Oryzias latipes: one gene and its partner. The protein of the gene in region 1 binds, or shares a complex with, the protein of each later gene. Links are inferred from orthologs where the notes say so. Each region holds a gene or a part of one and is shown on either strand. Other genes may lie near its edges.

Region 1 (3,259 bases):
TCTTGAGACAATTTACGATAAAAAAAGAAAGCAATTCTATTCCAGTTTGATTTTAAATTCCCACTCCAATCCGCTTTTGTCAGGGTGTTCCTAGCGGTCTTTTCAACTATGACTATGCCGTTTTTAGGCTAAATAGAAAAATCAAATGCTGTTTTCTAGAGAAGAATTTGTGCAGAGCAGCAGTTCATCAGTAGGTGGAACTATTGCTGCAGAGTATGTCCACCCCCACTTTCCGTCATCCATGTTTACACGCTCTCCCACTAGATTACAGCGCCTCACATTTCTCTACATCTTTGTGTGCAAGTGGAGGCGGAGCAGGGAGACTTTGGTCTGCCCAGTTCAGTTTCTACGTTACAACTGAGGGATTTATCAAACAGCATTTTCTGTCTGCTCCTGATTCACAAGGATCTGAATAAAGAAATACTCAATAATGCAGTTTTAATCTAAAATTTCTTTATTTATGTCCTCCATCATGAGAAAAATGCAACAGAATTTCTTTTAATCTTAAAATTAGCTTTTCATTGGAAATAAGTTTTTTTTGAAAACCATATGACATTTATTGGAGGTAAAAAAAAACTGAAACGGCAGACTTTTGTATTTAAATTGTAGAATATATTTGCTTTTCTGTCAACAGTACAGTCAAAAAGCTATGGGGAGCAGGAATCGGTCCTCAGAGTTCAGCTCTGCAGCAGCAGGATGTAGAGAATTTCTTCAGCGCTTCCCAGGTTTCCCTCTCCTCTTCCCTCCTCCAGCTTTGCCTCCTTTTCCTTTGCCCCCCTTCCCCTTGGGCCTCCGGGTGGCTCCCCCTTTGCCTCCCTTCTTCCTGGACGCAGCCTCCTCCCTGTCCTCCTCTCTCATCTGTTTGTTGACGGCTTTGGTGATGTCCAGCTTGGGCCTCTTGCTGTCCATGACCTTCAGGAGCTCCAGCTGCTTGTGCTTCTCGCTGGAGAAGTCCCCGATGAGGGGCTCAAACTTCCTCCTCTTGCCTGCGTTCTTGGGGGGCTTCTCCTTTGGGAGGCGATCCTGGAACCTGCCCACGGATGCCGTGGAGGTTTTGGCCACGCTCACAGCTTTGCTCAGCTCGTCTTTGGATTGCTTGGCTCGGGGTAGCAGCCCCACACCGGGGTTTTTTATTTTCTGAGATCTGGCGACGTTCTTCAGTCTGTTGAACTCGTTCTTTGCCACCCTCTCCTTCTTGGCATGGGCGCGTTTGGCGAACTGGTCCTCGTTCGGGTCGGAGGTCTGCGGAACCTCGATCAGCCAGTCTTTGGTGTCGTCGTTGGCCCTCTTGTAGCCCCAGCGCCTCCTCCACTCCTTGGCCGTTTCATCCCACACCAGGTTCGTCTTCTTCTTCTTCTGGATGCCTTTCAGTTTGGCGAACTGCTCCCATTTCGTCGGGGGTTTGGGCTTCGGAGGAGGTTTCTCTCTGGGCAACCGGGTCGTCGGCTCCGGTAGTTTGGCTACGATCGCCTCCTCGACCCTCTCGGTCGGCACCTTCCAGATTTCGTTGATAAGAAGCTGCGTGTTGTCGCGGGCCAGCGACCGGAGAAAGTCTTCCTTATTCTGCTCTTTGAAGTCCCTGGACTCGATGCGGTTTTTGTCACAAGCTAGCAGGTTTCCCACGTCAAAGTCCAAATCCAGCTCCTTCTGGACGGAGATGGTCTTCAGTTTTTCAGCCTCCTCCTGTTCGGCTTTCGCTAACAGCTCCTCCACGCTGCACGCAGCCATGATTTCGACCACTACACACGTGGGGCAACAACAGGAGTCTTCTTCCGGGTCACGGTGTAGTTCATTGTCTCACCGCACGAGGCAGTGTTGCCTAATTCCCACCGGTAACCATCAGGGGGAAGTGTTGTTTTATTTTCTTGTATAATACAGAATTTGGCTGCCAGAGGGCAATGTTGTTCCACTAATTTGACATTTAAATTTGAATAAAAAACAAACAAATTAATGCAATGTATACAACTTGTTATAATAACACACACATAAAATACACTATATTAATAAAAAAAATCTAAATTCATGCCACATTCATGCAACATTTTTAAGCTCTTTTCTCTTTTTCACACCAATGAACACTAGGGTCAAGTTTAAGTTCAGTCTGTAGCCTTAGGGCGCTTCAACAGGTGGACTACAGACATCAAACCACAGATGATGACAGTCACAGAAGCTCCAGATGGGTGTATATACATTATTTAAAAAGATATATATTTAGCTAAACTAGACAGAAAAAAACATGTAAACGCATTTTTTTTGGGGTAAAAAGTCAGTTACAGTTCATCGGTGACAGTTCAACAAAATTTCAACTCTATGTGTCAAAATACAGTCAAGCTAAGAAATATGCAAAATTTTTCAAAATAAAACCATGTTTGCAATACTTGTTTTTGAATTTTATGGACATTCAGTTGTGATATTTATTTAAATACACATTTAAAGTGAGTTGGCATCGATAATTTTGGTTTCCTTCAGTTGTGTCACCTGGCAGAGCTTAAAATATTAATCTTTTAAAAAATATAAGCCTAATTTATCCCTCAATATTTTTTGTAGGTTACAAAACACTATAACTGCTGTCATTCAGGTGTTTTGGGGAACAGGAACTGCCTCGTATCTGATGCTTGCTTCATAAGAAACGGTCAATGTTCTTCCTTTTTTGTCAAATATTTTGTGAACTCAAACAGTGAAAAATTACAATAAAACCCCCCAAAATAGCATTCAAAAGTCTGAACATGGCCTAAGAATAATATAATGTCATGCTTCCAAAGTTCTAAAATCCAAACGCATGTTAATAAAGACATGGCAATCTCCAAAATGCACCCATCAACAGGGAACTCAAATGGCTAAATGACCAAGGCAGGACAGGAGCATCCATGCATGGAATATAAATACAATATATAATGTTAGCCAAATGGCTACAATACACACCTGACTAAGGGAATACTTGTTCTCAGAAAAAAGGTAAAACTTCTATGACTTTTCTTGCCAATATTAATATCAAAAAATAATTTTACACATCTAGCCATCCATTCTTTTTCTTGCTTTAACCCTTTCTGGGTCATGGGGATGCCGTAGCCTAACCCTGCCACTGTTGAACGAAGGTGGGACACACCCAGGACAGGTCGCCAGTCTGTCGCAGGACACTTTTGCAAACACCTTCTTACAATAACTGTCATGATAAATGGTGCTCATCATATGATGCTTCACTACCTTAATTGAAGTGTAAAGCGCTTTATAGTCGCATACACACTCACATTCCCACACT
Region 2 (4,190 bases), on another chromosome or scaffold:
TATGTGAACACTTATGGTATCTCCTGCACACGCACTACTATTCTAATTCTTTTTTTTTAAATTTTTTATAAATACAAATGTGACAGAATATTTTTTCTGCAGACTCCTGGGTGGTTTTAAAAGAAAAAAAAAGACCAGGCTTTGTAGCAAATTAAACTCACATGAATCTGTCCCCCATAGTAGTGGGAGCAAAAAATGTCCGTCTGGGACAAAATAAACTGCATCCACTGCTGCCGTGTACAAATATCTCTCAATAACAAGGATTGACTGATGTCCTTCACAAAAAAACAATTTCATAATCTTGACAAATTTGAAACATTGTAGTATTCCTCTTAAGCAGAATATTAGACAAACATAGATGTTTAACTAACTGAATGCTGAGACAACCAACCCTGCTTTTGGTGTGGAGCCCCTTTTAGCTTGTTTGACTGATCACACTGCAAGATTTTATTGACATCAAGGGATCAGAAAGTCTTCCAGGAGGAAAGAATTTCACGAAGTAGAACAATTGTAAAGACAAAAGAAAAACGGATGTAACCATGATACTGGGTTTCTTTGGAAAATACATTAGGGGGAGGAATCTGACATCTATGTCATGAACATGAAATGTTTTTTATTCTCTTGTATGGAAGAACATCTTTCTTTTTTTCATGGCATCTCCAGGATTTTTTCTCTTTAATCTGATTGTTTTGTTCTTTTGAGCATCCCAACAGAGTTTAATGACTAAAAGCATAAATTGTTCTTTGCTTGCCTCTTGTCTCAAATCTTATTCAAACTGATCTCCATAAACATGAAACAGCAGTTGGTTTGGTTTAAGGCTGCATGGCCACATCAAGCCAATTTACATTTCCCATGATGCTGCAGGTGTGCTGCAGTTGTGTTTATTGCTTAAACTAATTGTTGATGGATCGGCATAGCTTTGGCTCAGAAGATTTTTTGGGAATTTTCAGGTTTTGCTAGATTTTCCACACGTTTGGTCAGAGTTGAACATCAATCAGTTCCCGTGCTTCAATGTTTGCATGTATTCAAAAGAAATATTATTTTGGGATTATTTTATGTACCATCGTGATAAAAATTTCCCGTTTAGAGAGTATAAACACTTAAATATTTTTTTTAAATGTAAAAAGTTTTTTTTTACCTTTTCGGCGTTTCTTTATATTTGGTGGTAAATGTCGCCCCCTGCCGGACAAATAGTATAATTTTCAGCGACTCCAAGCATTCTTGCACTGAGACAAAAGGTGGCGGCAACGAGCAAACTCCACTAAAAACGAAGAAGAGAGCCTCGTGTGTTTTTCTACCGGACAGAACCTCACGTGGAGGTTCCGGTTGCTGGCGCCACAGACTTAGAACAGGACCGAACCGAACCGCGACACGGACATGGCGCACTCAGACGGCATCACGTGAGTACCGCTCGCGCGCTAAGGTTTGGACCGTTTGAGCTTTCCCACATTCCTTGAGCTCACCAGGAGGACGCCAGAACTTGTCTGTAGGGATTTCCTGGAGGTTGGAGACCTCCATGAACCTCCACATTAATTTGAAGCCCCCAGCTCCACTGAAAGGTTCTGACTGTGCAGGTTCTGTGTTCCTCCTGAGATCAGAGCGCTCCTTCACAGATGTTTGAGGCGGTCTCAGGTGACTGGATCACCTGAATTCTGATTGGTTCCCTATTAAGGGCGCTTGCCATTTATACATCTTCAACTCCAAAACCCAATGGCCTGGAAATTTCCTAGGAGTCTTTGCAAAAAAAAACAGTGTGAATCCATGTTCACTAGATTAGAGAGTATAATTATGTTTGAATGATGTATTCATTCTAAATTATTTAAGTTGCATCATCTGATTACATAAATGGTCTCTGAAAAATGTTTGTTTTTATTATGCTTTTACATCATAGCAAATGAGTGATGTCATATTCAGTGTTTTAATGAATAAATGTTTTAATTGTCCAAATGTCTGGGGCAAATTCCAGATTTAAGTTTAGTTGGAAAACTTAGCTAAAATTTAAAGTTTTATATCTGAGTAACATTTTATTTAATATTATAATTGCATTCATGTTATGATTTTAATGTCATTAGTTTGCCTGATTTCTATCAATCTGGTGCTGAAACTGATGTTCAGACTCTTCGGGGGTTTTGCTGTGTTTTCAGAAAACCGAAGACGAGGCGTTCCAAGCGCTTCCTGGAGACCCGAGAACCCAAACTGTTGGAGAACGTGAAGAGCGTCATGATCATGAAGGGGGGCAACACAAACCAGACGGTCACTGAGGCCCTCAAAGACATCGTGAGTGACTTCGAACATCCCTAAAGTCTCCCTCTGATCATGAACCCGTGTCCTTTTTTAGGACCTAGTTTCTGCAGAGCAGCAGGAGTCCATTCGAAATTTGCCTCTGAGTTGTGGCTGTTAACATGATGCATCCTCAGCCCTCCACTCCTCCCTGTTACTGAGAGCTCTCTGTTTACCCTCTCGCTTTAACTTACAGCCACTTATACTCCCAAGCTAACATTATATTAGCAATATTGGAGCAGTTTAGAGCCAGATTGCAGCTCAGACGAGGAAATCCGCACACCGATCTAATGGTCTGCATGTTGAGCAGGGAGCAAGAAGATGTTAAAAACAGGATTTTGAAGAAAGTAATGATGAAGAAGTAAACATGGCCCTGTCCTCCTCCCTGCAGTACTCCCTGAAGAAGCCCAACGCCGTGCTCTACAAGAAGTAAGTTCCAATCCGAGCTGCTCTATGATCCACTTTCACCACAAGCCGAACGTTTTAGGCCTTTTTAGATCAGGTTATGGCCAACTTACAAAAATAATCATAAAGCCTGTCAAAGAACAGCAACACAGCTAAAATAATTCAATCCAAATCCTAAACTTTATGGCCAAATTGTCTAAATATTTTCCTGATGCTGCTAACATCACTTTTTTGAAATCTGAAAAACATCAGATCATTTTCTGATGTTATTTATGGTTTAAAGCTGCTGGAAAACTCAAATATTGACTTTAGAGGAGCTTTTGAATGGCTGTAATTTATGGAAGAAGTTTTTTTCTAAATATTTTATTTATGTTGATTAAAAAAATAAAAAACCTCCACTCTCTTTTAAGCAAAACAACAGTTTACTGTTGTTGTTTTCTTTCTTTTCTGGATTTTTTTGTCTGATCTGCAACAACAGTTTAGACAATAAAAGCCTCTTTTAGTCACGTCAGGGCTCTTAATTTGAAAGTTTTAGCCCTAGAGTGTAAAAACAGAAGTGTAACATTTAGAAGCAGAACAGCGCGTCGGGTCAGAACTTCTGTGAAGAAACGGTGTCTGTGTTTCAGGAAGAACATCACCCGACCTTTTGAAGACTCCACGTCTCTGGTGAGATTTCTGACCCTCTCTTACCGCTCGAGTGTCCCAGGAGATTTTGTCTTAAATTTGAACTATTACTTTTTTTTTTTTTTTAGGAGTTTTTCTCCAAGAAGAGCGACTGCTCTCTGTTCCTGTTCGGCTCCCACAACAAGAAACGACCCAACAACTTAATTTTTGGTAAATCCTGCTGCTTTAACCTGTTCGGAGGAGGACCGCTGGGCCTTTTGACACAATTATACGACATGAGAAGCTTATTAAAATATACAAACATGTTTTGATTGGTGACTTTTAGGTCAGTTTCAGGAGAAAATTGTTCAATCTTTCAAAAATCCCATAATTATATCATCTATTTAGCAGAAAATGCTTTAAAAAATAATAATTATTAGAAAAATGATAATATATACACAGTAAATCTAAATGTATACAAATTATGGTTTGAAATAAATTAATAAGTGCTAATTTATATTATTAACCTTTTCATGCTTCCCTTTATTTCAGATTATATGAAATGTTTTTGCCATTCTAGCTAATGCAAATTTAAATGCAGTCCAGGATTTAATGGGACGTTGCACATCAGCAACATGAAGGGGTTAAAAAGTCCAACCTTTGAACGGCAAACAGTATTTTTCTGTTTGAAAATACTTTTTTTTTCTTCAGTCTTCAATAATATTTGTTGGTAGGGCTGCCTGATTTGAGGAAAACTCACGAAATTAGTGGTCCATATATGTTGCAGGTTGATAGCAAATCAACCATCTGATTGGTCAACAACGTGAAGGAGTCCATCTGATTGGTCAAATGCATGAATGGATTTGATTTGTGAAATTCTTCTAGGTGCCATCAGATTGTTT

Evidence for each region. The genes of interacting proteins can lie anywhere in the genome.
Region 2: rrs1 (region 1) and rpf2 share a complex: the UniProt entries of both Homo sapiens proteins name them as parts of the hexameric 5S RNP precursor complex. The link is inferred for Oryzias latipes from reciprocal best matches to the Homo sapiens genes RRS1 and RPF2.

What each region holds. Positions count from the first base shown.
Region 1 is NC_019878.2:17,066,238-17,069,496, forward strand, and holds rrs1 (ribosome biogenesis regulatory protein homolog), read right to left. Parts: upstream 1,799-3,259; 5' UTR 1,729-1,798; coding exon 712-1,728; 3' UTR 591-711; downstream 1-590. UniProt on the Homo sapiens protein: Involved in ribosomal large subunit assembly. May regulate the localization of the 5S RNP/5S ribonucleoprotein particle to the nucleolus.
Region 2 is NC_019882.2:10,338,842-10,343,031, reverse strand, and holds the start of rpf2 (ribosome production factor 2 homolog), read left to right. Parts: upstream 1-1,256; 5' UTR 1,257-1,377; coding exon 1,378-1,400; intron 1,401-2,144; coding exon 2,145-2,277; intron 2,278-2,671; coding exon 2,672-2,709; intron 2,710-3,311; coding exon 3,312-3,351; intron 3,352-3,437; coding exon 3,438-3,519; intron 3,520-4,190. UniProt on the Homo sapiens protein: Involved in ribosomal large subunit assembly. May regulate the localization of the 5S RNP/5S ribonucleoprotein particle to the nucleolus.